Linked DNA regions of Schizosaccharomyces pombe. The gene in region 1 interacts genetically with each later gene. Each region holds a gene or a part of one and is shown in the gene's direction. Other genes may lie near its edges.

What was found.
Region 2: of sck1 (region 1) and git7, extra expression of one rescues a mutant of the other (dosage rescue), as found in Schizosaccharomyces pombe (one study listed by BioGRID).
Region 3: of sck1 (region 1) and git5, extra expression of one rescues a mutant of the other (dosage rescue), as found in Schizosaccharomyces pombe (one study listed by BioGRID).

Annotation. Positions count from the first base shown.
Region 1 is NC_003424.3:2,401,248-2,412,908, reverse strand, and holds sck1 (serine/threonine protein kinase S6K family Sck1), read left to right. Parts: upstream 1-8,205; 5' UTR 8,206-8,302; coding exon 8,303-8,542; exon of another isoform or gene 8,543-8,658; coding exon 8,659-9,349; intron 9,350-9,398; coding exon 9,399-10,365; exon of another isoform or gene 10,366-10,415; coding exon 10,416-10,608; 3' UTR 10,609-10,893; downstream 10,894-11,661. Other genes in the region: mus7 (DNA repair protein Mus7/Mms22), read left to right, coding at 1-4,605; SPOM_SPAC1B9.03C (ribosome biogenesis protein), read right to left, coding at 4,958-6,043, 6,104-6,163, 6,222-6,245; nuclear import protein Nxt2, read left to right, coding at 11,337-11,343, 11,386-11,468, 11,538-11,609. UniProt on the Schizosaccharomyces pombe protein: Protein kinase that is part of growth control pathway which is at least partially redundant with the cAMP pathway. Required for trehalase activation.
Region 2 is NC_003423.3:858,786-868,029, reverse strand, and holds git7 (SGT1-like protein Git7), read left to right. Parts: upstream 1-2,000; 5' UTR 2,001-2,035; coding exon 2,036-2,292; exon of another isoform or gene 2,293-2,348; coding exon 2,349-2,742; exon of another isoform or gene 2,743-2,785; coding exon 2,786-3,274; 3' UTR 3,275-3,375; downstream 3,376-9,244. Other genes in the region: ubiquitin hydrolase Ubp15, read left to right, coding at 1-1,490; SPOM_SPBC36.11 (uncharacterized protein), read right to left, coding at 3,725-4,756; phosphatidic acid transfer protein Ups2, read right to left, coding at 6,245-6,799; U2 snRNP-associated protein sap61, read right to left, coding at 7,957-8,090, 8,146-9,244. UniProt on the Schizosaccharomyces pombe protein: Involved in cyclic AMP (cAMP) pathway, possibly by participating in the assembly or the conformational activation of specific multiprotein complexes.
Region 3 is NC_003423.3:1,455,443-1,466,597, forward strand, and holds git5 (heterotrimeric G protein beta (WD repeat) subunit Git5), read left to right. Parts: upstream 1-8,406; 5' UTR 8,407-8,883; coding exon 8,884-9,801; 3' UTR 9,802-10,303; downstream 10,304-11,155. Other genes in the region: bem46 (palmitoyl-(protein) hydrolase), read left to right, coding at 2,222-3,121; rRNA endonuclease Utp24, read right to left, coding at 3,910-4,351, 4,406-4,542; ribosome biogenesis protein Llp1, read left to right, coding at 5,133-5,180, 5,320-5,625; mug93 (TPR repeat-containing protein), read left to right, coding at 6,277-6,333, 6,393-6,502, 6,657-7,641; putative alpha-1,2-mannosyltransferase Omh5, read right to left, coding at 10,369-10,593, 10,696-11,155. UniProt on the Schizosaccharomyces pombe protein: Beta subunit of the heterotrimeric guanine nucleotide-binding protein (G protein) involved in glucose-induced cAMP signaling.

The DNA of each region.
Region 1 (11,661 bases):
ACCAGCGAGTTTTTAGATTCAATTTCTCGTGATAATGGCTGGTTGAAAGAAGATGTGGTTGATCAATTATGGCTTCCTAAAAGAAGTTTATCCGCTCTTAAAAAATCAAGTTCTTTGACGTCGGAAAACCCCTTTCAGCTAAATGTAGCAGCCAATGCTGTTTCTACTATTCCTGTCTATCGCACAACTAAAACCAAAATGAAAAAAAATAGATTTAAATATGTCGAAGTGGAAAAATTACCAGACCTTATCCTTGAATCGTATGGGAAAAAGGCGCCAAAGTTTTTGAGGGTGTTTGCTCGAAGTTCATCTCATATTCCAAAAATGATTAGAAGAAAAAGACAAATGGATTCCAAAAAGTATTTTTCCTTCGACAAAGAATCCGATCGCCAAGTTATTGATCAAGTTCTTTCTGATTGGTATTCAGGTAAACATGAGCTTGTTCAACAATCTCATTCTTACAAAAAGCCTTCAGATTCTAAGTCAGTTGGTGGAAATATTTTTTCTGTTAATTCTAAAAAGCATAGTGTAAATATTAACGCTAAAACAGCAGCAAATAACGGTTTGAGTCATCTTCAAAATTTTAGCGAGGAACTCTTAAAAAAAAGAAAGCTATTTTCTTCTCTTTTTTCTAATAACGTTTCATACAAAAAATCCAAAAAGTTAAAAAGGACTCATACAGTACATGACAAATGCCAAAAAGTTGCCAAATTAGACCATTACATTAGGGACAATATTGAATTAAACTCAAAGGAAAGAGAACATGATTGTTATGAGGGGACTTTAGCTGTACCCCAAGTAAATACTGAGATCCGCAAGTCTTCAAGAAAGCAGAAGGCTCAACGATTTATACGAGACGATTTTGACACCGTCTTTTTTCAATCCTCTTCAAACCCTAATTATTTTACAGATGTAAATCCTTTTTGGAATATAGGTATTTGGTCTACTACATTTAATGTCATAACTTTTAGACCGGGACTTAGTTTGCCCAACAACTCCTTTATAAAAACCCAAGGGTTAAATTCTATTCTTCAATTGGACATCGTCACACATCCTTTTAAGTCTGTTTATGCTTTTTCTTGTTTATTCAATATCCAGGATGATGTTTTTAAAACATTCGAAAAATTAAAAGACACTTTTGAGACAGTCTTAGAAAATCTTCCATACTTTACAAACTCTGAAACTGTTGACTTGTACAATCTACTTTCTTTTTGCTCTGCGTTTATTCTTCATTCTCAAGTATCAATGGGCTTGGTTAACTTGGCTTCCTCCTTTTTAGAAACCTATGCATTAGTCAATGATCGTGTTTCTTCTATATCGGGGTTGAATAGATCACAATTGGTTGAAAAAATAGCTGTGTTGTTTCAAACTTTTCAAGTTGTATTTTATTGTGAATTTGAACTTGGAAATCAGCAAAACATTAATAAAGTTTCCTGGCTGGCAAGTGATTTGATTTCAAAACTTCTTTCTGCTGGTCAATCTGGTCTATTGGAATGTTATCGGAATTTGAGAATTCAAGCTTCAGATACGACTGTAATTGACACTCTTTTTTTGGAATCTTGGTCAATTTTAAATCATATTCTTTTTCATGTATATAAGAAGAAATATGCTTTGTGGGAACAGGTGAATTCATTTTTTGATCTTCAAAAAAAGGAGTTGTCTATATTAGAAATGGAAAAAATTTGGTATGTTATAATGACGCTCAATCCCGTTTTCCAAATTGGGCTTAATGGAACGACTCATTCACCAGGAAACAATAGTTTTTGGCCACTGATAATCAGAGTTTCAGAAAGTGCATTTAAAATGCATAAGGACGGACACAATGTTAAAGTGGTTGAGCGATACCTTCGCACAGTGTTTCTTCGAATTCATTTTCTCATATCTGAATGGCGTTGGGAGGATGTGGCTCAAATCCTATTTTTGATATTCGATTTCTTTAGCCATAGAAAGTTTAATGACCTTTCTTCTGAAATATCTGAAGATACACCAACTGACTTTCCTGATTTTGTTAAGTCACTTGACAGACCTCCAAATCTTCATGTAACTGCTCTTGATACATGTTTTGTAATTTATTTAAAAGTTATTTTAATTTCTATAAGCCGTTTGAGGCAAGTAGATGAAAATACAAATTCAATCAAGAGGATAGTATCCAGATTACAGCCCTTACATTCACGTCAATACACGCGAGAAAGTCCATTCTCAATTAAGGACTTTATGTCTTTGGAACATACTCACACTCTTCTTATTTGTCTTTATTGGGCAGCACCCGAGAATTGTAGGCCCAGTTTAAATCGCATTAGGGATATTGTAATCGTCGATAATTCTCATCTTAAGGCACGTTTAATTAGTCTAAAAGCATGGCTTCACCTAATGAAGTATGTGATAAAAGAGGGAACTGATTATGAACTCGCTCAGGGAATGGAGTGGTTTAATTCCATTTTAAAAGTTACATTTGATGAATATCTTGCTCTCTTTTCAAATGGAACTTCTGTTGGTGAGATGCAATTGGCTGAATACTCGAAACATCAACTTGAAAATGCGCTAATTGTAGCTTTCCATTCCCTTCAAGATTTAATTCCCAATTCTTCAGTTTATATTAGTAGGATAAACGTTTTGGTGACGGAGCAGTCATGCCGGCGCATTCTTAAAGACTCTCATTTTTTTCCTCCTCGCGTTACTCTGGAGTGTATTTTATTTCTAAAAAAGTTTTTGCAGTATCAATCTAATACAGAGCCACCTAAGGTTACCGTTGTTGGTAGCACTTCGCATGATAGTCAAGATGCTTACTTTGATTCTGATGTGCTGGATGATAACACACTCATTTTAGAACAAGAAAAGTTTGAACGTAAATACGAAGTGGCTCAAATATTGAGAACATTTGTTTCACCCTTTTTGTATCAAACGATATCTTATCTCGTTGGAAATGACGAGGACAAAGAAAATTATATTCGTATTTTACTTTTACCATTAATGGAGTGCATGGCAATTTGTGCTAGTTTTGCTGTAGAAGCGAAAATCAATGACTGGAGTTACTATATCGATTTTGGGTCTGAGTCTTGGGAAAGGATTCGTAACACTCCTTTGAAAAGATCTCTCAGTACCACGTTTTATTCCTTCCTTATATCTTATAATGATTCTTTTATTAAAAAACATGAGGAAAAAGTCTTAACTGTATGGTTTGAATCACTGGGCGCTTTAGATGAGGATCATGCTGCACAATTTACGATTTTGTTATTACAGAAAAACCTAAAAAATCCTATTTTGCTTAATTTACCGATATCCGTCAAAATTGAGGAAATTAGTATAAATTACTTTAAGTCGGTTCACTTGAATTTATTAACAGCTGTGTTTTGCAACATGGCAAAACTGTATGCTGATGCCAAGACAAATGGTTTCGCGAGCTCTCAATATTTACAGAGCTTGTTTATTCATTACCTATCCTCTCTACTGTCTTCTATGCAGCATAGTTATGAGACAAATGGTCATTCTTCTGATACTCACTCTTTGTTTGTTATTAATTCACAACGTGTTGTCGGAGACATTTTACAGTATTGTAGTCAATTTGCAAATGATCGTAACCTTCCTGCCCTCAGATATTTTATGGACTCAACTAAGTTCCCCCAACCACCGGAGCGTCTCGAATATACGGCCTTGAGGTTACGAAGTTATGCGAGAAAAACTCTCACAAATTCAGCTTCTCAAAATGCTTTGTTTAGTTTCCTAAAAGCAAATTTTGATGTTGCTCTGCTAGAACAAAAGCAAACTGAAACTTCTAATCTTTTAAGGCTGGCTATGGGATTCCATAATCAAAATAGCTCCAGCAAATGGGATGTCGAGATTTCTTCTCTTCGGAAATTTTGTGTAAAGGAACTTTTATTGAGTTACCTTGGTGAAGGCTCGTTAGCAGCTATGTTTTATTCATTGTTACTACTGGAGGGTCTAAGCCGAACTTACAACAGCTTTAGACGTATATATTTGCAACCTTACATTCAACAGTTACTGTGTGAAGAAATTTCTGTTTTTGTGGCTGATTTAGAGAAATATGCTTTATTATATGAAAACAAACGCCCTTTACTTTCTGGGAGAATATATTACCTTATTTCTTCATTTGTGGCTATAAGCATGACAAACAAAACCAGTGGATTGCCATCTAGTTTAATATGTAACTTACAGAATTTTTTAGCTCGCATAGCTCGAGACTTCCTTCTTGAATTATGTTGGAATATTGAAGGGTCTGAGTTTCCCCCTCCTTACAATACTGTTGATTGTCGTAGCAAATTTGTTAAAACTATTCAGCAACATTGCTCAGCGGATTGGTACGACAACGTTACCAATATTGTACATAAGTCTAGGAAGAAAAAACTAGTTTTGCCTTCTCAGGTGGAACAGGAAGAAGAATACTGGTCAGGTTTAATGGAAGTTACTATTCAAATATGGAAACACGATAAAGGTTTTTTAGAGCCTGAATTAGATAGGTTTCTCAATGTAATTTGCAGTTATGCACCTGACATGAGTGGGTTACCGACAAAAATCAAATGCTTTTTGGATAAAATCGGCTATTCTTGGATGACTGAAGAGAATGATTTTGATATTGTATTGTTTTAAAAGCCAAAATTAAAAGATTTTTCAGTTGTGGTTGCTTTTGGTTTCCACGTTGTTTATTTTATTTATTTTATTTATTTTTAATATTTCATTTGATGTCTGTGTAATACACAAACTCATTTATTAATTATCTCTTGTTGTATACAAAATAATTAGACAATGAAATAATCCAGTTCTGCATATTTCTTTTGCTTAGAGCTCTTTTTTTTTGCTACTAGTACATCCATTAATGTACGTAATTTTATTATCACATGACTGTGGTCTAATTTGACCAGTAAAATATAATGTATTTCTATTATAAGCCATCTGATCAAAAATACTTCTAACCTAAGATAAAACCCAAAATCCAAATATATTATTCTGTATCAGAATAAGCAGATGACCCTTCATTTCCGCTGTCATCATTTTTGTTCGAAGAAGTAATACCTTCTTTTTTCTGGTCTTTTCTTCTTTTCTTATTTTCACGTTTCCTCCTGACATTTTCGTCTTGCTCTTTCTTTCTTTTTTCTTTTAACGCGCGACTCTGTTCGTGAAAATTATCTTGTTGCTTTATTTCCTCTTTAGATTTATGGACATGACTGTGATAAAGTACCTTTCCTCCCATCGCATCTTCAGTAATCTTGATCAATTCCAATGTCATCCTAGGGCCTATTTCAATTAACTTAATTGCCTGTTGCTTAGGTTTTAATAGTTGAGATGCCGATAGTAGATTCTCTTCAGTTTTAGTCGGTACAGGACGATCAATCTCTACGGTTGCATCCTCTTCGATTTCTGAGTCACTTGCTGCACCAGAAATACCATCACCATGTAAAACATAATCCGAAATATCACGAACATTGTGTAAATCAGGGATATCAGAGTCCTTTTTTTCACCTTTCAACAGATGTCTTATAGGGCGAGAAATACCCACAGGCTTCGTGCTAATTATGAAATGACGAAGGTCGATATAACCATCGTCGCGGCGGTTTAATAACAGAACCCGTTTAACACTATTAATGTTGGTATGTTGGACTGAAATTGGAGGAAACATATTTTGAAATGTAGTCGTTAGCAAAGCTTCATGGGGAGAGTCTTTTGACGAATTTTGATTAAAATGATTCATGACCAAAAGTGGAGGAGTAAGGAACTCTGTTGTTGGAGATTTAGGATTTTTTTGAAGTCTTCGAACATCTTTGTTCAGCATATACTCATGAATCCTAAAATGTAATGAGGGACCTCTAGGAGCCCTAATGATTCTCAAGTTCGCATTGTTGTCAGTGCGAGAGAGGACAAGAAGATGTGTAACTCCAAGAGGTCCAGCCATAGTCAAGTAATCTTTTATTTTATTAGCTTTACGCTCCTTTAATCGAATAGCTGTATGTGGTTCCATCATATGTCGAAGATCTCGAGTAAGCAAAGATAAGCTTCTACCTACTTCAGAAGCGCCCGATCGAATTACCATCTTAAATAAGAATTAGCAAAGGGACTAAAAAATTTTACAATTTTACAAAATTGCACATACCGATTTAGGAATTGCTGCTTCTTGTATAGGATCAGCTTTCAAATGCGTCCTCTTTTTTACCTATAATTAAATTAGTTTAAATAAAGTATTTCTTTTAAACTATCCATTCTCAACATACCCGTTTTTTACCAATGCCTCCCATTCTTTGTGGTTGGTAGTTAAAAAAAATTGTACACTCTCAAGAACACCAATATGCAAAGTTCATTTCCGCCAACATGACAATAAAGATGGCAATAGACATTATTTTTTTGAAAGCTGAATTTTCTATTTTAACATATCTCATTTACATGCTGTGAACATAATTTGAGCGAGAAATTTTTTATACTAGTATAGTTAATAATAATGTTATGGGCCTAGAAGTAAAAAAAGAAAAAAACACGTGAAATTGAGAATAATGACCGTACTACGAAATTATGAAAAATCTTTTATAAACACTTATTTAATCAATAATTTTTTGGAAGTAACTGATTGTATACAAAATGATGAACTTCTAAAATATACCGGTTTATTTGTCGGGCGTAAATCTATTGTTTGTACACTGACTTTGGATGATGCATATCATTAATGTAATTGTAGCTGATATCTCTTGACTTTTGTTTTGGAAATTAAACTATTTTGTATTGATAAATTAACGTAGAAAAGCACCACGATAACCTGAACCTCGCCTCAGCAGCTGTTTGTTTAACCTATGCGGAAGACCCCCACATGGTCCTTATTATCGGTTTTATGCCTAACACTAGCAGCTTAGCAGTGGTTATTAAAATGAAAGCCCCCACAAAGTACTAAGATGGGTTTGCTAGTACGGCTAATCAAGGTTGCGTAGCAACGTTTGTCAGAGGAACGAAAAGTGGTACTTTGAATGTCATTAATTTAACCGATGATTTTCTTATTTTGTTTGTAATTTCTGATGGTCTTTTACGATATTTAATTTGAAATACTGTGCTATGAAAAAAAATAATAATAAACAATAGCAGTGAACTATGACAAACTAGCTCTTATTATATAAATTACTATACAAAGTTATCTTTTTACATGAAATTTTATTTCTCGTTTTTTTTAATCATTTTCCTTTTAAATCTTTTTTTTGGGGAGGGAATTAACAGTTTAAAAAAATTTTTAACAAGGGTTATTTTTTTGGCTCCATTTTAATTAATTGTACTCTGTAAATAAAAGATTTAATAAACTCAAGGAATATAATTGACCACAGTAATGAGTATAGAGAGACTTAAATAAAAAAAAATTAAAATTAAAATTAAATCAGCCGAAATACAAAAATCCCGAGTATTTTGCATCAAACGCATATCAGAAACCATGAGAAGCAAATAACAATTAGAAATTGTGCCCAAATTTGCTAATGTATGTCAGTAAGTTACAATTTTAATTGACCAGTGGACATCCTACTAAAGCTCATTCATTCAAACACTACAATTGATTTATTAAAGAAAAAGAAACTTTTCTGGTAAATTTAGTATGACCTTTGGTTAAGGCATCAGCCAACGCATTAAAAATTATTTGATAAATGTTTATAAAAAAAGAGTGTAGCATTTTTCGGTACTATCTAGGTATTCCTCGAAACTAAACAGTCGAAAATCTCATAGCTTGAGCTCTCCGAAATTACGTTGTAATGTGCTTTAATTTCTTTTGTATATGTAGGCTAAAATAAATATACATGAAGTTTCTACTAAGCCATTCGGAGAACTCTGTTTCGATACTCCTTCGTTGGACAAACCTTTGAAAATCACAAGACATTTCTGAGTCAACAGCGTATTAATTGCTCGATAAATTTCTTTTTCTGCTTTTAGAATAAGTGCATAATAATAAAATACACTGCAAAGGAATTTTTCAAATGTTTAGGGTTATACATCCCCCTTACCTGAATCCCTTAAGAAATAGATAAATGGAAGTGCGGCGCCCCTCTGATATTATAACCATTTAAAATTATACATCTATATAATCATAGTAAAATACGAATTAGTGTTCGAAAAATACTGGATTTTCTATCCGTTCGCTAAGATATCGTACTCCCGGATGTTACCACACTTTTCGATTAAGGGAATTGCGAAGGTTACATATGCGAAACACCTGCTGGTCGAACCAACTTTAAACACCACACCCTATTATTAGTAACACCAGACGAGGAATCCGATTCCATTAAAAGAGTATTAAAAGATTCTTGATTGATCATTGCTTTTGCTGAAAATGACCGAAATTTTCGGTAAATTGCATCGATCATCAAATTCTGAGAATACAAATCAAGCATCGCCATCCACAATACAATCGCATTCAACGCAACCGGTTCTTTCCAATGACCATTCTACGAAAGTAAACGATTACGAAGGGAAAGAGGGTGCTTCGTCTAATGGCTATGATCCCGTTTTCATGTCGGATCGGATGAAGATGCGTTACAATGAGATTACAGCTCAGCTTCACAAAGAACAGGTATGTTATAATTGATTTTTTGCTTGAAAGACAATCTTCCCCATAGCTTTCTTTATTGTGTTTTTCAAAAATCACTGTCTCCATAAATTGTTGTTCACTTGGCTAACCTATCATAGTCCTTAAAGGAAGATAAAGAATCTGGTTCTAATAGTTCCGAAAGCAATGGAATTACACCAATGGGTACATATTCAGAAAAACCCAAACTACTACAGAGTCGTACACCTCCATCTTCGTGTTACATTAGGCATGATACCGTTGTGCCAAAAGATAAAAATGGTCAGCATGCTTTTGGACGGCTTTATGTTCGATTACATCAAGGTAGAGATTTGAACGTCAAAAGTGTTAATGCACAACCTTATGCAGTAATCACCTTTGAAAAAACGCAGGTTATGGTACCTCCTCCTTTTAAAGACATTGACGGTGGGATACCCATTTCCATTCCTTCTAAAAACCGTCCTCTTGCTGGATCTGCTTCCGGTTCTTCTTCTGGACTACATTCTGAGCTAATGTTGGCTGATGTGCGTTGTCCTCATTGGGATTTTGAAACTGTATTTGATGTGACAAAAATGAAAAGTCAAATGGTTGTATCTGTATATGACAAATATGAAGACGATAAATTTTTGGGCTCCGTTAAAATTACACCAATTTTCCTACATGAATATGTGCAGGAAGCATGGTATAAGCTTGAGCCTCTTGACTTAACTAAGTCTCTGGAGGGTGAAATAAAAGTGGAAACAATTTACGAGCACATTGAACATGTTCGTTATGGGCCAGAAGATTTTACGGCCCTTCGTTTAATCGGAAAAGGTAAAGCTGCTTTAAGCTAAAAAATTTACGGTATACTAACTTTATTTAGGCACTTTTGGGCAAGTTTATTTGGTCCGTAAAAACGATACCAATCGGATTTATGCTATGAAAAAGATATCCAAAAAATTAATTGTTCGTAAAAAAGAGGTTACACATACCTTGGGCGAAAGGAATATACTTGTCAGGACTTCATTAGACGAATCTCCGTTTATTGTTGGTTTAAAGTTTTCCTTTCAGACCGCTTCAGATCTTTATTTGATAACTGATTATATGAGTGGAGGCGAACTTTTCTGGCATCTTCAACATGAAGGTCGCTTTCCTGAGCAAAGAGCTAAATTTTATATAGCCGAACTTGTTTTGGCTCTTGAACATTTGCATAAACATGATATTATTTACCGAGATTTAAAGCCTGAAAACATACTATTAGATGCAGATGGTCATATTGCTCTTTGCGATTTTGGTTTGTCTAAGGCAAACCTTTCAGCTAACGCAACTACTAATACCTTTTGTGGAACCACCGAATATTTGGCACCTGAAGTTTTACTTGAGGACAAGGGGTATACTAAACAGGTCGATTTCTGGTCTTTAGGAGTCCTTGTCTTTGAGATGTGCTGCGGATGGAGCCCCTTTTATGCTCCAGACGTCCAACAAATGTATCGTAATATTGCCTTTGGAAAGGTCCGTTTTCCAAAAGGAGTTCTTTCATCAGAGGGTCGAAGCTTTGTTCGAGGCCTTTTAAATCGCAATCCAAATCATCGTTTAGGAGCAGTTGCTGACACTACTGAATTAAAAGAGCATCCTTTTTTTGCAGACATAAATTGGGACCTACTTAGCAAGAAGAAGGTTCAGCCGCCTTTTAAACCGAATGTTCAAAATGATCTGGATGTTTCCAATTTTGATAAAGAGTTTACCAATACTAATGTGAAAAATATCAATATAGTTTCCAATGTTGATCCCGCTAATGCCTCGACACCTCTATCCAACACGATTCAGGACAGATTTCGTGGTTTCACTTTGTAAGTTTATTTTTAAATATTTGACCATCAACTAACCTTAAACTTTATAGTGTCAATAAGTCCATTGATGAACAGTTTCAGAACCTGGGACTACAAGAAAACGAAGAGACAGATAATTTACATGCGTGTCGCACAACAACCCATTCATCGGTTAATTCAATAAATTCACATGGGAATCCACGTACGGTGGATGCTAACGATCCCGTCGCAGATACTGTGTTCGGCGAGACGTTCGAAGCTTGATAAGCTTGCTCCAATCAAAAAATTTGTCTCCTATTATCCACAATAGAAGATAACTTATTATGTATTATGTTCCCCTTTCGTTATAGTTATTTTGTCTCTCAAAGGCTTCGCTCCGTGTTTTCTAGTTTACCCAGGAATTAAAGCAAACTGTGGGTGTTTTGCTTTTGTTTCCTTCTATCCTTTATTATTTGTTACGTTCTATTTTGTAGTCATCTTCATATTTTATTATGTGAACATTTAATAGATTAAGTTTTACATTTTTATCCCAACTCAAATACTTGTTGCTTTCTTTTAATTATGATTGAAGGTGCATTAATTATGCAAAATGTGAAATACATCGTTATAAAAAAGAATGTAGCATTTAATAAGCAATCTTCACAATCAAGTAAATATTATGTTCCATTTCGTTCATGATACTAGTTAGACGCTAGCACCATATTTTTTCTCATAAATTTTGTCTCAATAGGAACGGATAAACATCTATCCTGTTGTTTGCATGAAGTAAAACCCCTTCAAATCTTATTGCAAATTCGTTTTTCTACCATTGCCAATACTATTCGAATAGAGGACTTTTGCCAAATAACACAACTATAAGTTTATCATGTTATTTTACATATTAAGAGTTGTATCATTTTACGTTAAATTACTTAAGGTGTCTGTACGATCTTTTTTGACGCGATTTTTCGAACTTGAAATAATAGGTCTACCTTTTACCACCATCTTTCATTATGGCTGGTAAGATAAAAATTTGTATGATTTATTGCTAATACTCTGCAGACTATAATGCTTTGGCGACCCAGTTCACTCAATTTTACTACCAAACTTTCGATTCCGATCGTTCTCAACTTTCTTCACTATACGTATGCGACTTCTAATTATGAAATTAATCCTACGTGTATTTATCTGGGCAGCTAACTTATATATATTAGAGAGAAGAGTCGATGCTGAGTTTTGAGGGAGCCCAACTCCAAGGAACTAAAGCCATTGTGGAAAAACTTGTTGTATGATAATAACTGAAACGTCTTCCTTTTTTTTATTAACTGTTTGGTATAG
Region 2 (9,244 bases), on another chromosome or scaffold:
AAAAGCACCTTGCTGGACTACTTAATAGAGACACAAGTGGTATTCGTATTTGGCTTATGACGAATCGCCAAAATCGAACTGTTAGAGTTGACCTTCCACTTGATAAAAAGACTATACTCGTTGATCAGATCTGTGATATGCATATACGTAAAGACATGGATATGAGAGTTTATGTGGAATTCTTAAGTGAACACAATCAGCTACTTGCGGATTTTGGTGCCACGGATGATAACGATTTCGACACCTACATTTTTCTGAAGATTTTCGATTATGAAACTCAGCAAATATCCGGTTTGGCCGACCTACATGTTTCAAAGAATAGCCCCATTTCTTCACTTTCAGAGTGGATTCGTGAACATTTAAAGTGGTCTTCTGATGTTCCTATCACATATTATGAAGAAATTAAAACCGGCATGGTTGATGTTTTGGATCCGAATGCTAGTTTTGAAAAATCCGAGATCCAAGTGGGAGACATTATATGTTTTGAGAAGAAATTGGTCCATGATTCTTCATCGGACACCTCTCACCCTTACAAATCAGCTCTTGACCTCTATGATTTCATGGCACATAGAGTAGTAATTACTTTTGAGCCTCGTTATTCCGATGATACCAACAATGGTGTTTTTGATTTGGTGCTTACAACGCATACCAATTATACTGATATGGCTCGAGCAGTGGCCAATAAACTTAATGTCGATCCTAATTATCTTCAGTTTACTATGGCACATCTACCTTCGCGCACTCCTCGTTCAGTAATTCGTAACCCTTCGAAATTTACCTTACAAAATGCGATACCATCAACCTACTCTCATAACCAAAATGTGGTTATGTTCTATGAAGTCTTGGACATTACGCTTAGTGAACTGGAGCGTAAGCAATTAATCCGGGTGCATTTCCTGTCGAATGGTATTTCGCATGAAACTCAGATGGAGTTTTATGTTGACAAGGAAGGAACTGTGGAAGACATTCTTCGACAGGTTACTCAAAAAGTACCTTTAAATGCTGAAGATGCTTCGAGACTTCGTCTTTATGAAGTTTACAATCACCGGATTTTGAAAAGTCATCTACCCACGGATGGAATATATGATCTAAATGAATTCTCCACTGCTTATGTTGAAGTCACGCCCAAAGAAGAACAAATGCAATTAAAGACTGATGATGCAGTGTCAATTGTAGTACAACACTTTTTCAAAGACTTATCACGGTTGCATGATATCCCATTTTATTTTGTCTTACTTCGTGGTGAGACTTTGAAAGACCTAAAAAAACGGCTGCAAAAACGATTGGGCTATAACGATACCCAGTTCTCGAAAGTCAAGCTTGCAGTTTTGCAGGCCCAGTCATTTGGAAAGCCTTATTATCTTACCGACGATGATGAAGTACTCTATGGAGAACTTGAACCACAGTCACATATCTTGGGACTCGATCATCCACCAGCTAATGGTAGTGCTCAATACCATGGTATGGACCAAGCAATAAGAATGAAATAATTGTTTATACATCACCTTTTTAAACCTCCAATTTGAATGTTAGCGGTGCCATTTACTAGAAGCCAAGCAATTTTGTTTCAATCAATAAATTGATATATTCTGGCAAATAGTAATGCATTCGCGTAATGACGTCTTTGTTTCAAAATTTGCGAAGCACGCTTCGCATTATATGATATCTTACTATTTACTTGTTGTTTTGCGTATGATTAAATAAAATCGATAATCGCCCGCTCTTTTATACTCAAATTTTTCCAAAATGTATTCTTTTATCTCTACAGTGATTCATATTGTAGCAGAATGTAATGTTTATTGTTAATAATTGTAATCGTAACATTTGATAAAATATTCACATGAAACCCATAGCCAAAACTCATTTAAATTGGTGTTTTATTAAGTTATCAACCCATGTTTGGTCCATCTTACATATAATAATAATCTTGATGATCTGTATTCCTTACACGCTTTCACTGGGCATTAGCTTTTATCACCACCTTCAATTTCTAATCCACCAAGCTTCTGCGCCGTTTTACAAGCAAAACCATAAAATGGGTGTAGATCTTTCTGATATTAATGATTCCCTTTTCAAATTATCTGATAAACTGTCAAATGATTTGGCGAAGCAGAGAAACCTATGTATCGTAAAAGAACCATCATTCTCAATAGAGGAGCATATCAAGTGTTTTACAACTTGCATAAATACCTACAAACCATTTAGTTGTCTAAAGCATGCTAATTGGGCTTTATTGCTGGCAAAAAAGAAATCCGATACCGGTTTAATTGGTTATTGTCAATCTCTAAGAGGGTAAATACGATTTCTAAATTCCTATAATTCTGTAATTTGCTGACTATGTTTTACAGGCTTGCGTATTACTTACTTGAGCAATATCAAAGTTCTGCCATATGTTTTGGATTTGCCCTAAAACATTTAAAAAAAGAAGATTTAACAAAATGGCAAGTTCAACTAGACAGCATGCTTACGATCGTTCACGAACAACAGAATCAGGACACCTCATCGCTCATTCCAGATGAATGTCCAAATATTCCGGAATTAGAAGCTGCCAAAATTGAAGGAGACGAAGAGTTCCTTAATATGAGCTTGAAGGCGCCGGAAGGCCAAATAGAAAAAAACGAAGAAAAACTTTCAAATAGAATTCGTTATGACTGGTCCCAAACGTCTTTTTCCCTAAATATCGACATATATGCGAAGAAAGTCAAAGATGAAGATGTGAGCTTATTAATGGAAAAGAACACTGTAAGGACTGTGCAAAGCTAAACCGTCCGGCTAACCATTTTAGTTGAAAATAGAAATTAAGCTTGAAGATGGATCAATATTCTCCTTGGTTTTAGATCCTCTGTATGAAGAAATTGTTCCTGAAAAATCGTCATTCAAATTATTTTCAAGTAAGGTTGAAATTACCTTAATTAAGAAAGTCAGCGAGATAAAATGGGAGGCCTTAGTTAAGAGTCCGGCGAACAATTCGGTGAACGTCTATGCTAAAGATTCAAACCATTCAAGTGCTTCTGGTAATACGAAAAATAAAGCGAAGGATTGGGATTCGCTAGCAAAGCTGGCAGATTTGGAAGAAGACGAACCTACTGGAGAAGCTGCTTTGGCTAACTTATTTCAAAATCTGTACAAGAACGCCGATGATGACACCCGAAGAGCTATGATGAAAAGCTATACAGAAAGTAACGGCACTGCTTTATCAACTAACTGGAAAGATGTGAAAAGCAAAACATTTGAAACAAAGCCTCCACAGGGAATGGAACCAAAAAAATTTTAACTCCGAATGAACTTTTTACATTTACAAGCTTGAAGAGAAGCTTAACAATTTATTTATAATTATATATCTAATTTGATGAACTATCAATTGAGATTTATGCGAAATAAACTCTTGTAAACATTTACGTTTAGAGTAGCAAATTAAAAGAGTATAAGAAACAGTATTATTAAGTTCTTTTGCAAAGGCCATATGCAAATAGAATTTGAAAAATTAAAAGATTAATTGATAAAACCTTTAGAATTAATTCCAAAAGTTGCCTTCCGGTGTGAGTTGTATAAATTGAGCAGAAATGTTAAAAAAACCTTCTATTCCATCTAATATGAAAACAACCAGTATTATGATTTAATGCAGTGAAAATGAAAAAAAATGAGATATCAAATATACGTGATTAGTTTAAAAGTCATTAGTATATCTTAGTAGTAGCTGGAAACTCCATTAAGCAGCAATTCCTTAAAAATGTTCTGATCTCTTCTTTGAATGTTTTTTATGCTCTTCCGAAATTTCATGCTCATAGGAAGACTTGCGAATTGTAACAAAGGGGTCATTCAAACTGTTTTTGTCAAATTTATCTTTTTCATCGAGCAACTCACTAGATGATTCAGTTGAACTTTGTTTTAACTTCGTCTCATCAGAATCATCGTTCGAATGTGACCCAGAATTCGAGTCATTATACAAATCCGAAGATATGGATAAGGGTCGCCTTCCTGGAATTGGTGCCAAGGGTCTTCCTTGAACGGATTGAACTGCACCATACGATATAGAACGCCTTTTCTCCAAAGCACTAGGAGAACGATAATTTCCAATAGTTGCAATTGAATTCCGTTTAAGTATGCGAATATTATCTGAGTTAGCGACATTACCAGGAGGTGTGACAAAGTCTGCAGCATTGGCTCCTAAATCGCTTGAGCGCCTGGTGTCATTATAAAAAGATTGCGACCGTTGAGGTATAGTCGAATTACGTGGTGAAGAAGCCCAAGGAGTTGAATGCATTTGATAACCACCACGATAGCCCATTTTTTCTTGCTCAGTATTTTTTCGTACAGCAGCAAGACGAGATTTTTCTTCTTCAAACTGCCTTTCAAACTCTTGCTGCTCAGCTAAGAACTTCTTCCTCTTAAAATGACGAAGGCAGTAGAATATTATCACTAAAACAATTAACCCACCTAACACACCAACAATGGGACCAGCAATTACGCCTGTATGGTTATGTTTTTGAGCACCATTTGGTAAAGAAGATGCACTTGCCGAGGGTGGAGTAGAAGCAGATGTTGGTTCGGGGTTTTGCGTTGAAATAACAGTTGAATAAAAACCACTGTAAGAAGGATCATCAGTTGCTTCGGGTCCAGCTGTGCTAGTAACAGTTACTACGTCGAGAACATGAGATGGTTTGATATATGAAAAGTCGGAAGAAAAAACTGGATAAGAGGAAGGAAGTTCGTCGCCAGGAACGGTTGAAGCCAAAGAATCATTGGAAATTGACATAATAGATGACAAACCAATCGTAAAAATGATAGAAATTAGAATGTAAATGAAACTTGAAATTAAAAATCCAATAAACTATAAAATTTTGAATTTCTCAAAGAAAAATTCGTTAATCCCAAAAATGTCAGAGTAAATTGTTGACGGAATTTCGCGACAACTGATAAATAAGAAATATTAAAATCTTCTTCCAGTAACCTCTAAGTACAAGAATGCAAAAAAAACCCAAAATGATTTAAAATACCTTGGTTAAAATGGTAATAAAAGAGTAGATGGCAACTATTGGAGAAGAATAAAGCTATAAAATGATAAAATATACAGTATGTTCAAAGCGTGCGAGTTAATTAGACATACAAAACTATATAGCCGTTGAAAAAACCTTGACTTGAATCATAAGCGTTAATGTAAATAGGAAATAGAAAATGTTTTAAACAAATCTTACAGTAATTAAAAACGAACGACTAGGGAGTAAGGATCAGAGGAGAAATATTAGAATTGTAAATTTAGGCCAATTGCTCATTGGTAAAGTCCACAAGAGAAAATTCAAAAGTGAGACGTCTTTCAACGGTACAAAAATCAAACAAAAGAAGCACCAAAAAGATCAAAATTGCGATCAAAATTAGTCTATATTGAAGAGTGTCGGTAGCGGTTGGAAGACGGATGAAACTCCGGGACAACACTTTCCGCTTCACTAAAGTTGGCTGGTAAGTATAGGAGACAGGCACTAAAGAGAAAGTCCCGTTCCTTTTATTCAGTACGTTATGGGTAATACTAATAATTGCGAGAGGTTGTACAATTCTCTTTTAGTTTTTAAGAAAACTGGTTCTTGGCCACAAATTCTACAGATTTCGTATTACACTTAAATGCGAATTGCACATGAATGCAAAATGTATTAATTGTATAATTCAAGCAATGATAATTTAGGCGCTTGTTATATGAATGTTATTATATTAACTAAATTTTAAAAAAAAAAAAGGAGTGGATGTCCAATCTTGTTTTGTAAAACAGATATTGCATTTAAGAAAGAATAAACCTTTTAATTTTCAGATAGATGATTTGAAAGCAGCCTATTCCATGGGGAGAAAGAAGCAAGCGATTAACATAGCGCATCATCATTTGTGCATTCACGATTTTTTGGGGAAATAGACGATTAAATTAATGGTATAAAAGTTGTAAACACACATGTTTGGAAAAAGCTTATAAGTCGTATTGGTCAAAAATATGACACACATTTTGTTTTAAAAACAACAAACATCTTTGAGCGTAGACATAGATAATGGTCAATCAACTTGAAGAAGTTTTTAATTAAAAGAACGAGAATAGAAGAGAGGGGATCAAAAATAGGTTAGAGGAGTAATATTACGAGAAACAGAAAACTAAAAGACGACTTATTGCAACATTTCGCAAGCCAACTGACGGAGAAAAGATTATTTCGTAACCGATAACTTTAAACTTTTGAAAAAAGAGAGAGGTTGAATCAAGAAACAAAGTCTATGCGGTCGCTTCAGAAGAACCAAACGGTCGCGTTTGGAATACAGACATGTTTATTTTTTCTAAAACACTTTCGAAGCCTTCTTTTCCACGGGAAGCTTTCTTTCCAAAACCATCAACCGACCATTGTTCGATCAGGTTTGACAACCGCTTCATACACGCTAAGGCTTCAATTCGAGCCTCCTGTTGAAAAACAGTAGCTTCCAGTTCAGGATGGGGTGAGTAAGTCACCGTCTCATCTACTCTCAAACGATCACTAAACGTCAAGTTTGAGGTTAAAAGTGTTAAAGTGCGCGCTTTCAAGTCAACATAGCTAGTTTCTCGAATATAACAATCTTGCGCACCGTCAATCAATTTTAAAATCCATCTAGGAAGGGCCTGGTGACACGTGATCAAGCGTTCCGTATACAATACACCATTATCCAAAACCTTGCGATCAAGAGTATCCACGGCTATCACATGAGTAGCATGCTCATTGGGATACTTCTGCCAGTGAGCCGCTGAAACTTGTTCAAAAGGATATTGAAATAAGTGGCAACTTTCAAAAATCTTCATTTAGGATACCTAAATTTTATGAAATTTTACGTGAACTAAGTAAAAAAAAAAGAATGAATGACCCTTTTAAATCAAAAAAGTTAGCTAACTTCTTTTAGCTATTAACTTTTGTCTCTCAAGAACTAAGAAAACCAAAAGTTTCTTTCTGGGCCGCTCGTAAGATTTTTCTTTAATTTTTTTCTGAGGTAAGATCTACTAACTGATGCACCTTTACTTTTCGAGTTTGTTTTAAATTGAAATCAGCCCGTAAGTAAAATATGCTTTTTTTGGGATCTTTAACTAATGTACAATTTCTTAGTGTATGGTTTTTTTTATGTACAGAGCAGTGGAGCGGAACTATTTTTATATGCGGTTTTCTGGTTGGCGGGACAAAGGAGCTCCAATAATTAACCATTTTTACTTAAACTATAGCCATAAGCGAATCAATGCATTTGGTGGAGGTGGGGTACGACAGAGGATATGCATCGCACTTTTTATAAGGTTGTAGTTTACGATGCACTATATATAATAACGCACCAAAGCGGAATAAGGCCTATATTATACTAATGGGTTTTTAAAAGTGTCATTTAATTATGTTTATGGATAAAAGATATATAGAAATTTATATAAAATATGTACTTTATGTATTAACAACACTATCTCTTATGAAGGAGTTGGATTTGGTTTCTAGCTGAAATAATTCTTATTTGTTTTAGTTTTTTTTTTTTTTAATACGGTGATAATGCACAAGACTCATTGTTTTATTATGCTTGAGAAAATTATAGCATTTGCTACATCAAACACTAACTAGCCCGTAGAAGCGTATACGTAAAAGATAACAGAACTCTAGAATTTCAATCAAACCCAACTGGGCCTTAGATCGTCAAAATGCCGGGAGGAGATCTATCGTTGAGCAGTGCTATGAGAAACTATCAAAAATTTCGCAATCAAAAAGAAAGGGGGGAAATAAAAGATCAAAACATGCTGTGTCACGAGAATTCAAAATAGTATGCCTTTTAGCTTTCATGTTTTCTCTTTTCGTTTGCTTCGGTATGTAACGCAAAGAAGAATAAAGGAGCATGCTCAGCATTTTATAACTCAAGTAGGAAGAAAATATCAATTTTTTATTTCTTTAATGTACACTTACACGACTACAAAAATTGAGTCATGTACGTTATTTATAATAAACCTTGGGCCTTTAAATCGTTGTAAACCTTTTCAGACATCACATTACCTTCGTCATCTTCCATTTCATTGAGAGACGCCATTGTGGTTTCCCGCTTCTTTGAGTCCACCTTGTACTTTTGCCAAACTAAAAATTTTCGTTAGTAACATAAACTCACCAAATACAATCATTTTTTTCTTACGTTGCAAAGCTTCATCAATAGAAGTAATCTGATTGAATAAAGGTGAAGGTGATATTCCTAAACATTTTAACCCGTATATGTGCCTTTGTTCAGTAAAGTGTTTATCAAATGCCTTTCTACCCATATACACGTAATTTCCACAAATTTCACAGGGAAACTCTTTACCAAGGCCATGGAGTTTCCAAAGCCAGAATGGAATAGGTTTACCATCCCATCCCAATGGCAGCTTCAAAGGGTTATATATCTTTTCCTCATCATCCTGATCACTTTCCTCATCCTGATTTCCCTCAACACTTACGCTTGGAGTCGATTGTTCAAAGGCTTCTCTTTCCGCAGCCTCTACTTCTGCCAAACGTTCTGCAGCCGTCAAAGTTTGTCGACGAACAACATTTTCACGAGTATCCTTTCGAACATCGTCAAGCAAAGACGTTAACTTTTTTATTAAAAACTCGATACGGGCAATCGCTTTAGGTCCTTTTTGCTTCTCGTTCGTATTACTTGTGGTAGATGGACTAGAAGACTGCATCCTCTTAACGGCCTTATTATGTGCTTTGCTCTTTTTGTGAGCTTCAAATACAGTGATCTTCCCAAAAAACTTTTGACAAACTTCACAATAAAATGCTTCCGTCGAGTCTTTCCCATCTTTTTCGGCTTCAGCGTTGTGTGAATACCAACCAGGAAGTCCAGCTTCCCATGCTGCGTCGAATTCAGTATCAAAAACCGCAATAATCTTATCCAAGTTTGACAGAGGGTGTGTCCGGCGATAAAAGGACACCAAGTATTCGTATAAATGAGTTATATAGTTGATATATGTTTGATTTTTTTCAGGCTTGGGGATTTGATCAAAATCCTCCAAATTTTTCAAATATTCTAAGTAAGAAATATGCTGTACATTGCTTAAGTTTATATATTCTTCGTAACATTCGTTAAGATCCATAAATCGACCATACATCTCTTCACCTCGAAATAACGTGTCAATCTCGTCAATCCCGGGTTGAGAAGGCTTTATGGAATATAATTGACTCAGATCCTCAACTTTATGATCAGGATATTTTTTGTGAAACTCTTGGATCTCTCCCAGCGATTTATAAAACTCTGT
Region 3 (11,155 bases), on another chromosome or scaffold:
GGTGAAAAGAGTTGAATGATGCCAGTGATAGCAAAAGTAAAAAGTAATATATGTTACTATTTGTGTCAAAAAAGATAGAATAGGCTTGGAAAACAAGACAAACATTCCAACACAACTCATCTTTCACCCACCCTTTTTTCATTTCCTTTCCTTTCATTATCAACATTAAACAATCCATTACTTCTTATCCGATTGTGACGAAATGAGGTTGTTGTTTTGTTTGTGTTCTCCCTCTCATCTCTCTTTCGATGATGTAGTTAAAAAATTAGAAAAAGAATAAAAAAAACCTAAACGTTAATCGACGGTTTAAACGAGTGAGACTGGACTTCGCTTCTTTTCTTACGCATTACCAAACTTTGATAATGGTTGCTGTAATCAATGATAGTTGGGTCATCCCCTTTCCCACCAGAATAGAGTTGATTTACCGTTTTCTACGCAGCGCTTCAAATTTCGAATTAAAATTTTTGGTTTGCCACATTATGTTTGTTGCCTGTGGACGTGGATGGGTTACTAGGGAAAATAATAAAGCAAAAACACAAACATTCGTAAAATGCGGAGTCGGTAGATTCGAGGCTTTTGCCTTAAGTTACGTTATGACGTTTAGCAAATGGATAAGGAAATGGAAATGAAGATGAAGATGGAGATGAAGCAAGATGAAGGGAGAAAGGGAGAGGGAGAGGCAAGCATGACAAGTAAAATCTCTTTCTTTTTTTCTTTTTCTTTCTTTTTTCTTTTTTCTTTTTCTTATTTTAAATAATGTAGAGTTAAGCTCTATCTTGTTTTTACTGTAAATGAGTTTGTTGTATGGTAATGAGGGATCGCTATAATGTAATAAAGTTTTGGTTTTGTGTTTCACTAATTTTTAAAGCCGTTGGTTTACTGTTTCACTCTAAATGTGTTTGACTATAACCATTGTAACATAAATAAAAATAAATCACTGGCTAACAAAGTAAAATCCAAAAAAAAAATAAATAAATAAAAATTAAATAAAATAAAATTGAATAAAATCAAAATAAAATTGAATTAAAATCTAAAAAAATAAAATAAAAATCTAAATGTAAATGTAAATTCAAATAAAAATCCTTCTCAAACTTGCTTCCTCTCTCTCTTCTGATGTTTTAGCAATGCACAATAATAGACACTGCATTTACAAACTCATTTCGATCCTCCATCCTCAATCATTACTAACTATTTATTTAATCAAATTAAATTATCTATTTTTATTTTTGGGGTTTCATTTGATATTTTAATTCATTCAATATTTGCTAATGTATTTATTTTTCGTTGCGTTGTAATCCTTATTCACTATTCAGTTTGTTATTATTCAGTCATTTATTTTCTTTTTGATTTTCCTTTTAATGATTGATTCATAAATTATTATTATTATTATTTTTAAATTTTTTTTTTTTTTGCCGCTATAATCATTAATATATTATTCTACTTTTATTGTTTCTTCTTCCTTGTTTACCTCTCCATCTATTCCTTTTACTCGCGACAATGGTTTGTTTTCCTTCCATTCAATCTCCATCCCTTTTCGCTTTATTCAATGTTGTTTCTCGTTTGCACTTTGCTAGTCCGTCGCTTCTTTTTTTATTGCTGCGACGTTATTTTATCTACGACCAATATTTATTACTCTTGATAAACCACTCTTTTCCTACTCTTATACGCCATCAATGTTTTCCTTATATCATGATCACATTATCCATACTATTTACCACTGTATTTACCACCGTATGTATACCGCTGATTCCTTTAAACAATATTACTATTAAAACAATACTATTATCACTATTTACATTATTATTCCATCCTACAATTGATATCACTCTACTCTTTTTTGATATTACCCAAACTTTCATATTATCATTAGTTTTCTCTTTCCAAGACCGATACCTTCTTATTACAGTAATATTCCTCCTCATATCATCTTATTCTCCTTTCCTTCAACCCAATCTTCCTTCACTGTAGCTTTAGCTTTCCTCGCTAGCCTTCCTTAATCTCTCCCCCTAAAAATGTTGGTCCTCCACCATCCATCACTTTTCCAAGCTGCCTTTTCCCTTTTCCAAGACTGTACGCGCTTTTTAAAGCAAATTTGAATCTTATTTATGCGCGTACTGTAGCTGAAAATCCTCTTTCACTTCCTACACTTCTCATTTTCTTTCATCACCCCATTGTTTACTTACGCGTCTACATTCATCCTTCCTTCATTTCTTTCCTCGACATGGCAGGTTCATTGTCTTCCGCCATCTTCAATGTTCTCAAATACAGTGGTATGGCTTCCTTAGCCGTTACCCTCATTGCTTTGGGCTTCTTGTACAAGTACCAAAAGACCCTCGTTTATCCCAGTGCCTTTCCTCAGGGTTCTCGTGAGAACGTTCCAACACCCAAGGAATTCAACATGGAGTATGAGCGTATCGAGTTGAGGACCCGTGACAAAGTCACTTTGGATTCTTATTTAATGCTACAATCCGAGTCTCCTGAATCTCGTCCCACCTTACTCTACTTTCATGCTAATGCCGGTAACATGGGTCATCGTCTTCCCATCGCTCGTGTATTCTATTCTGCTCTCAATATGAACGTCTTCATCATTTCCTACCGTGGTTACGGAAAGAGCACCGGCTCTCCTAGCGAAGCTGGTTTAAAAATTGACTCCCAAACCGCTTTGGAGTACCTTATGGAACATCCCATTTGTTCCAAAACAAAAATCGTCGTCTATGGTCAATCTATTGGTGGTGCCGTTGCTATCGCTCTCACCGCCAAAAATCAAGATCGCATTTCTGCTTTGATTCTTGAGAATACCTTTACTTCCATCAAGGACATGATTCCCACCGTCTTTCCCTACGGTGGCTCCATCATTAGTCGCTTTTGCACAGAAATATGGTCAAGTCAGGACGAGATTAGAAAAATTAAGAAATTGCCAGTGCTCTTTCTTTCTGGTGAAAAGGATGAAATCGTCCCTCCTCCTCAAATGGTCCTTTTGTTTGGTTTGTGCGGTAGTGCTAAGAAAAAGTTTCACAGCTTTCCAAAATGTACTCATAATGACACATGCCTCGGAGATGGTTATTTTCAAGTGATTGCTGACTTTCTCGCTGAAAATGATATCAACACACCTGCTTCTTAAGCTTTCTTTTTTTTTTTTTTGAAAACAAACTATTCTCCATTTCACCTTACATTTTTGGTTGCCAGCTTAAAGGTTCTTTTTTATTATTTTTTTCAATCGAAATTTTTTCCCTTTTCATTGGGGTTATCGAGGGCTTTTTTTCACTTGCATCCATTTTCTTTCTCGTTCTTCTTAGAATTGTCGTTTTTTTATAGTAGCCTTAGTTAGTATGTAAGTATTTGGGGTTTATAGGAATAGAATAGTACTGATAAGCAATTTTCCATTGCTTATATTTTTTTTCTTGATATTCGCTTTGTATTGTATCAACCGTTTCGTATATATATACCTACATAGAAATTAATAACTTTTGTCCTTTTTCTTAGATTCCTACTACTTTGTAAACAAACCATAATTCTTTCCATTTTTATTATTCATAAATAAAAAAAAAAACCCCCGTCAAAATGCTCACATAAATAATTTTGCTGTAACCATTGAAAACGGAACACTACTTTCCAATCAATCCTTTTTCATAAAAAGTTTATAAACATTTTCATTCACTATTCCACAGAGATGAAACGATATTAAAACCAAATACCCTAATAACAAAAATATATATCAATAATCAGACGTCAAATCCATTCATGGAAATAAACCCATTTAAAAAATATGGATCACTTTTACCACGATACTTTTTAGGAGTCCGTCTATTCTAAAAGTAATTCACCAGAAAAGATAGTACGGGTAAAACATATCGTCAAGTATCAATTAACAAGATGATCTCTTTTTTTCATGTTAAATTTTGATTTTTCTCAATCCACCACATCCACCAAACGCTCTACTCTAATTTTATGATTCGCAACACTCAAAATGGGGATACCTGGAATCTTGCGAATCCTTTGCTTCAGATTTTTATCATTGGTAGCAACTAAATAGCATTTGTGCTGCATCACACGTTGAACGATACAGTCATCGGCATACGTGCCTTTGTGAGTGCAAGGAAGACGTTCAAATCGTTCATCTTTGGCAATTCGAAGTGCAATACGATAGCGAATTCCCAATTTTTCCAATTCAGCCATTACACAGTCAGAAATACAAGGAATGGTCTTAGCGTACAGACAGGTCATGAGTCCTTCAAAAAGATCAATCTTTTGCTGAAGACAAAAGTTGATAAAGTTTGTATCAATGATAACATGGTAGGGAGGTCCTAGACTCTCATTGAACTGAAAGAAAAGGTTGGAAGCCATTTGTGGACTTGAGGGGTTAGCATCAAAAATCAATAAAGTGCTTATAAAAAAATTTACTTACATTTCTCGAACTAATTCTCCATTCTTTGTAGTTTTCTCTTTCTCTTTTTTCTGATCTTTCTTTTGCAATCGTTGATCCTTAAGGTTTATGACTCGCTTTACCTGAGCAAATTTGCGTGTAGTTTTTGCTTTACCCATTGAAAATAATTAACGGAAGAGAAAGAAGAAGTGATTTAATTTACAAGTTTCGCATTCAACGTCCAAAGCTCTAAATACCCTTTCAATTGGAAGTGCCCAAAAAAATTATTAGTTGTTCAAAGAGGGAAGCAGGCTGCTGGATGAGACTGAAGGACAATGAAGTTCAATGCATTCTTAAAACTTCCATAATGTAAAATAGTGTATCACAATGGAAGCATAACGTATTTTTAATCCAACTGATCGTTAAAAAAATAAATAGGTATATTTATATAACGATACGAAAAAATACATAATACAACTTTACGCGACATACTTTCTTGTATATTACATTGCCCAAATTATTTCTTTCAATTAACTTATTGTGGTTCAAGGGTAGAAGAGACGGTGAACCGCCCAGACATATGTAGTACGTATTTTAATATGAATTACTTTATTCACTAAAACTTCATGATACATTCTGCTAAATAGTGCTTTCCCTGCGTACCCTACAAACGGTATAGCTTATAACGAATACCAGCGTGCTATTTTAAATGATATAAGTTTTGTAAAAATGGATGAACCTTTGCATTCAACTTTTTCACACATCAGCAATGGCAAAATCAGCACGTTCAAAAAGCATTCGTCGCAATAAAAAAGTGGTATGTTGTATAGTATAGACAAATGAAGGGATTGAATGTCTTTTTTTTTGGTTTCGGAAACGGTTTATGTACAATGGAACCGTCTTTAAAACAATTGCCCTTCTCATACCTCTTTATCGATTATCTAACAAAGTAATAGCTTAGAGAAAACGTTTTTCAACCCGTAATTGATGAGCGGACTAAGCGTTTGTCTGCGCACTTACGTGACCAGGTCAATGACCTTACAAAGTCATCCTCTAGCAAAGAAGAGGGAATCGCCGATAATTCCTTGAAAGAAGTCAGCAGTTCAGAAGTATCCGATAACGTTGGTATGGAAGTTGATCAGCCTAAAGTCTCTACTTCTGGTCCTCGTGACAACAATCGCAACAAATGGGCAAAGAAACATTTAAAGAAAGGAAAGCGTGCCAAGAACAGTAACTTTTCGAAATTTTTGAAGAAAAAGTAAATTTAAGTTCACCATTTAATATATAAACTCCGAGATCTTTTTAAGAACTAATTATCAATCTTTTTTCTCAGATTTTTTTCCTTGGGATAATTTTATTTTCAAATTTCTGGTTTTCAACTGGAGACGTTGACCGTGTTGCATAAGGATTTTGTTTGCTTTTGGGGGGTTTGGATTATTTTATATTATTCTTTATAAAAACATATTTTTTTCCAATAATGAATATTTTGTTTCAAAGACTTACTTTTTTTCACGATGAAGTTTCTATATTGTTGGAATAAGTCAATTTTTTAATTTTATTTTTTATATTTATTGTAATTAAGTACGATGTAACTAATAACGTCTCTCTGTCTCAAAAACTGCACTTTTAAATCGTGCTTTTTGCTTTGTTTACCACATGAAATAGAATTAGTAATGCTCTTGGTTGTAAAACCTGATTTTTACAGAAATGTAATAAAGTATGAATATCTAAATATTAAATTAATTTTATTTGCGTATTTTTTATCGCTTAAAATATAATTTTAGTTATTGTTTGTTTACAAAAGTGCACATGGTTATGATATGCCTTCACACATACATTCCAATATTGTTCTACCACATAAACAAATAGATTGACATTCCATCTGATTTGAACCATCTGCATTCAAAATCGCAATGGAAGAAAAGGAGAACGTAAACTTGGTGGAAAAAAGCAATTATGTTGCACTAGAGGTATGCTCTACTTTGATTACCAGAAGATGTTTGTAACGTTTCTAACCCTCAATAAACAGAACACACGAGAAATAGATGTTTTTGATGAATTCCTTAATGCAATTGGAAATGAAAACACCATTACACCGGTTTACGCCGATAGCTCATTAACTCATTTGCGCAAAAAATCGTATGTAACATAATAAATTTAACAAATTACCTATGTCACAAAGGTTCAGAGAATCCTTTGGATTATTAACGGGGTTTCTCGAAAGAAAAAAAAACATCGTCTGAACCTTTGCAGCAGTTTTGCTTTTATGCTAACTAACTTATTTTGCATGCAGCTATACTAAAGTAGTTCATGACTGTACATATGCTCTAGTCATCAATCCGTATGATAAAAAAGTGATATGGAGGAGAGGACTAGCTTATTTGCGACTTGGACATCCTCACTTAGCCAATCGTGATTGGGAGCATTCACTTGAACTGGACCCAAACAATACATACATCCAAAAATCTCTTCATAGATTAAAGGAAGTGTATTACATTTACAGAGAATGTGCAGAAACATGGCAGTTAAGACACCTTAGAGTTGCTTCTTCTCAGCAATTACCTGTAGGATTGCGAAAACAATACCCTAATATAATTCGTGGCAAGATCTGGTGGAAGAAAGTGCACGACAATTGCCAATTGTGTGGACAGCAATGCGAACTGAAAAAGGAGAATCTTTCAGCAATGCGGTCTATGCTTTACATGGCAAATACTTATGCAAAGGATGATACCGAAAATCACTCGCCCAGCGCCCAAATCGGAATAGAAAGCTCGGAGGACGAATTAGAAAATAAAATAACTAAGGGAGAACACTCTCTATTGGTCCCAGAGGAACTGTACAGATCCAATTACCCATGCCCTCAAAACATAGATCAGTTTCTTTATATGATAAAAGTCCTATCTGCCCCCTGTTTGTACATTGAAACGTTTTCATTTCCTATTTCCACAATTAATCAATTGTTCAAAGCTCATGGAATGTCGGTTGAGCAGTTAAATTTATTCTTAAAATCAATACACTATATCGGATTGTGTTCAAGGTTTTGCAAGCAATGGTCCGACAAGGCACGATCGCTGATGCAAGCGTTGAGTGGGCTGCCGTGGTTCAGTTTTGTCGTGCAACATTGTTTACATATAACGGCAGCTCAAATTCTTTTGCATATTCCTGACATCCAAGAAGAAGAATTCAGAAACTGGCATGTTTCCAAAAAACCCATCAACAATACTGATCTCTCTTCTGAATTTGAAATTGCAGAGATCCCAATCAATTGCTACACATGATAACATTGATGACAATAAATTTTTGTATGTTAAGTCAGTCCAGAAACCATCGATGCAATCATTTGGAGTAGAAGGCATTAATAACCGTGTGTAGTTTATGAATAACACATTCATTGTATATCAACCTCTTATTTTCAGTGCTGAAATAATCATTATCAACCACATGAAGCTATATATTTGTGGGCAAAGTAGAAATGTTTGCCATTTTGTTTACCGCCGGATACACCAAGCAATGAAGACAGTCATCGACCCAATACACAAGTATTGTCCGTCAAATGTTAAGTGTAATTGTTAAAGAAATTGAACAAAATGAAAGAGACAAAAAAACTTTCAAGACAGTTTTGTGTTGCACACCAATACTGCCGTTTCTCATACTCTGAGTATATGCCATGAATCGCATATTCACGATTTAATCAAAATAAAAAAGATATCCAAAATATCTACATCTCTGTTACTAAATTGCTTGTTTATTTATAACAAAGCCATTTCACAGATACACAGCCAACGTGGTAAAGCAACCCTTTTCTCATAATCGCTACAACAGCAAAAAAATATATGTCTAATGCAGGTTTTTCAATTTTCTATTATCTCTATTAACTAAACGTTCATTTCATACAATTTTATCGGTATGGCAAGGTTATGGTAGTCTACAAGTTGAAAACCGCAGAATGAATCGGCTATTATATGCTTACGATGAGGATGACGTATTCCATATGTTTGTGTTACGCTGCACACACTATGACGGTTTCCCAATACTCTTCTTTTGACCTTAGCTCTTTACATAAATTCCAGTAAAAAAGCGAAGAAAGCCGTTTTTTTGTGTTTGTTGAAAAACGATACGTTGGTCCTTTTGGTGTTTATGTTTTTGTGCTTGTATTAGAATAATAGATTGTATAGAGGCTTGTCATCGTAAAATTGTTTCAAAGGCGAACGCCAATTTTAACATTAGAGCTTGCAATTCTTTAAACGAAGCACCATTACTATTCTCTTCCTTTTTTTTGTATTGTTTTTCTTTTATTTTTTACTCTTTAGGGTGGATTTAAAGTTGGGCACCCCTGTAGGAGTATTCTAAATTTGTTGTTGTGAGAGTAGTTTATCAGGTGGATTTATATTCTTTTCGCTTTTCTTCCTAAGATCTTTAGTATCCTTATTTCCTCCCCTTTCTTTGTGAGTATATCGTATAGGAACAGTTACGTTACTGTTGTATGAATATTAGACGGAATACTGGTTCAATTTCTAAAGATGGATTCTGGGTCAAGAGTAAACGTCAACATTCAAGGGACTCGAGTTCTCAAAAACAAGCTGGGAAAAATTCCTGACATCGACATATCTACAGATGGAAAGTACTTATTATCTGCATCAACGAATGATGTTCTGTTAGTTTGGGATTTGCACACTTCCAACAAAGTTGCGTTCTTTGAAGCACCAAGCGTATGGATTATGACTTGTGCATTCTCACCCTCCACTAAGAGCATAGCAGCTGGAGGGCTGAACAACTTTTGCGTAGTATACGATACCAGTGTTCCAGATGCGGATCCGGTCGAATTGGTTGGGCATGCAGGATTTGTTTCGTGCTGTAAGTATGTCGATGACGGTCATTTGCTTACGGGTTCTGGCGATAAAACTTGCATGTTTTGGGACATAGAGCAGGCAAAAGCCATTAGCGTTTTGAAAGGTCATGAAATGGATATTGTCTCTCTAGATTTCCTACCCTCAAATCCCAATTTATTTGTTACCGGAGGCTGTGACAAATTAGCCAAGCTCTGGGACCTTCGGGCTGCTTATTGTTGTGCCACATTTCCCGGAAATACATCGGATATTAATTCCATTTCCTTTTTTCCTTCTAACGCTGATTTTGTTACGGGTGCAGAGGATGGTATCGCTCGGTGCTTTGACATTCGTGCTTCTGCTGAGATATTCCAGTATTCATCTCCATCATCCTCCCCCATTAATTCAGTCTTATTTTCCAAGTCTGGAAAACTTCTTTTTATCGCAAAAGATAAAACATGCGAGGTTTGGGATTCCATCTCAAGCAAAACCATCACATCATTAACAGGCCATGAAAATCGAATTAGCTCTTTAGCTTTAACTTCTGATGGAACAATGTTGGCAACTGGCTCTTGGGACGAATGTGTTCGTCTCTGGTCTTCGTCAGGGTAAATTAATGATTTTTTTTCTCCTTTTTTTTTTGTCTTTGGAAATGATGATGTTTGTTTTGTTTTTTTTTCTTATACATTTACGTTTTCGATTCTAGGAGGTTGACTGCTTCATGTCCCACTGGTTTATTATTTTTCTTAATTTTTTATACGTTTATGCGTGGTTTCGTGATGCTTTACTGATAATGTATTCATAAACCCTTGTGTACTAATTCCCTATTTTTTTCGTTACGTTTCTCTTTTATTTCTAAACAAAAATATACCTTTTCGAAAATTTCGCCTTGCAAAGGTTGGCGCTTTTTTATTACTATTTAATTATTGCGATTTTGTAAACGTTTAATCCTAACGATTACCCTTTAGTCTTTTTTTCTTAAAGGTATTTTTCTTCTTACGTATGATAATAAACTTTTTTATAAATGTTGTCTTGCTGTTTTTTAAAACTTATTTTTATGAAAGAACAACCCAAATATTAAATTCTTTTATTAAATAAAATTCTATGTATGTATACTACGAATTGAAAGAAACTGTAAATAGCTATAATACAAAGAGCGTAAAGTACCCGTATTCGCTCTTATTCATCTAAAAATCCCCCCATCACCGATGCCCACTCGTTAATACAAGAACCTGGCTTAGTTTCATAATCGGGTATGTTGAAGGGGCAATCACAATTACAACCATATTCTTGACCACAGTGTTGAATTGTGGAATGTTGATACCCAAGGTCTCTAAAGTAATGGACTTGAGATCGATTAAGGAGAAGACCCACTGCTAGCGAATGCACCGGAGCATCGCCCCACTAAAATAAGTTAGTAATCAGAGATAGGAAAAAAGTATGAAGAAGATTGCACTTCGAAGAACACAATGCTTTTTTTTTTTTGAATAAACTGTAAAAACATACCCTTTCAGTCCAAAATCCTCCAGCATTTTCCAATGCGTCGACATATTCATTATACTCTTTACTATTGTAAAAGTCTAAGCGTGCAATTTCGAAGTTACTCCAAAAATGGCATAGATTATAAATCTGGCCATCAATTCGGTTTAAAGGGGGCTCCGGTAAAACGTAATATCCTTGATCTTTTTGTTCTTCTTTCAGCTTTTTAATTCTCGTTTCATAGCGTTTATCAAGGAAGAAGCTCCAAAGATCGGTAGTTGGTAAATTGGATATTTTTTGATGAGCAACAGTGTACCGAAACAGATTTGGAACAGTTTTTGCAAGTTCTTTGATAGCAATAACGTATCCGTAGACTTTATTGTGCTTGTCCATGTAGTAAAATGGGTCATAAGAGATGTCACAAGAAAAAGTGACTTCCGGTTCAAGTCTCCAATACCACTCGTACTGTTGCATTAAGGGATGTTTG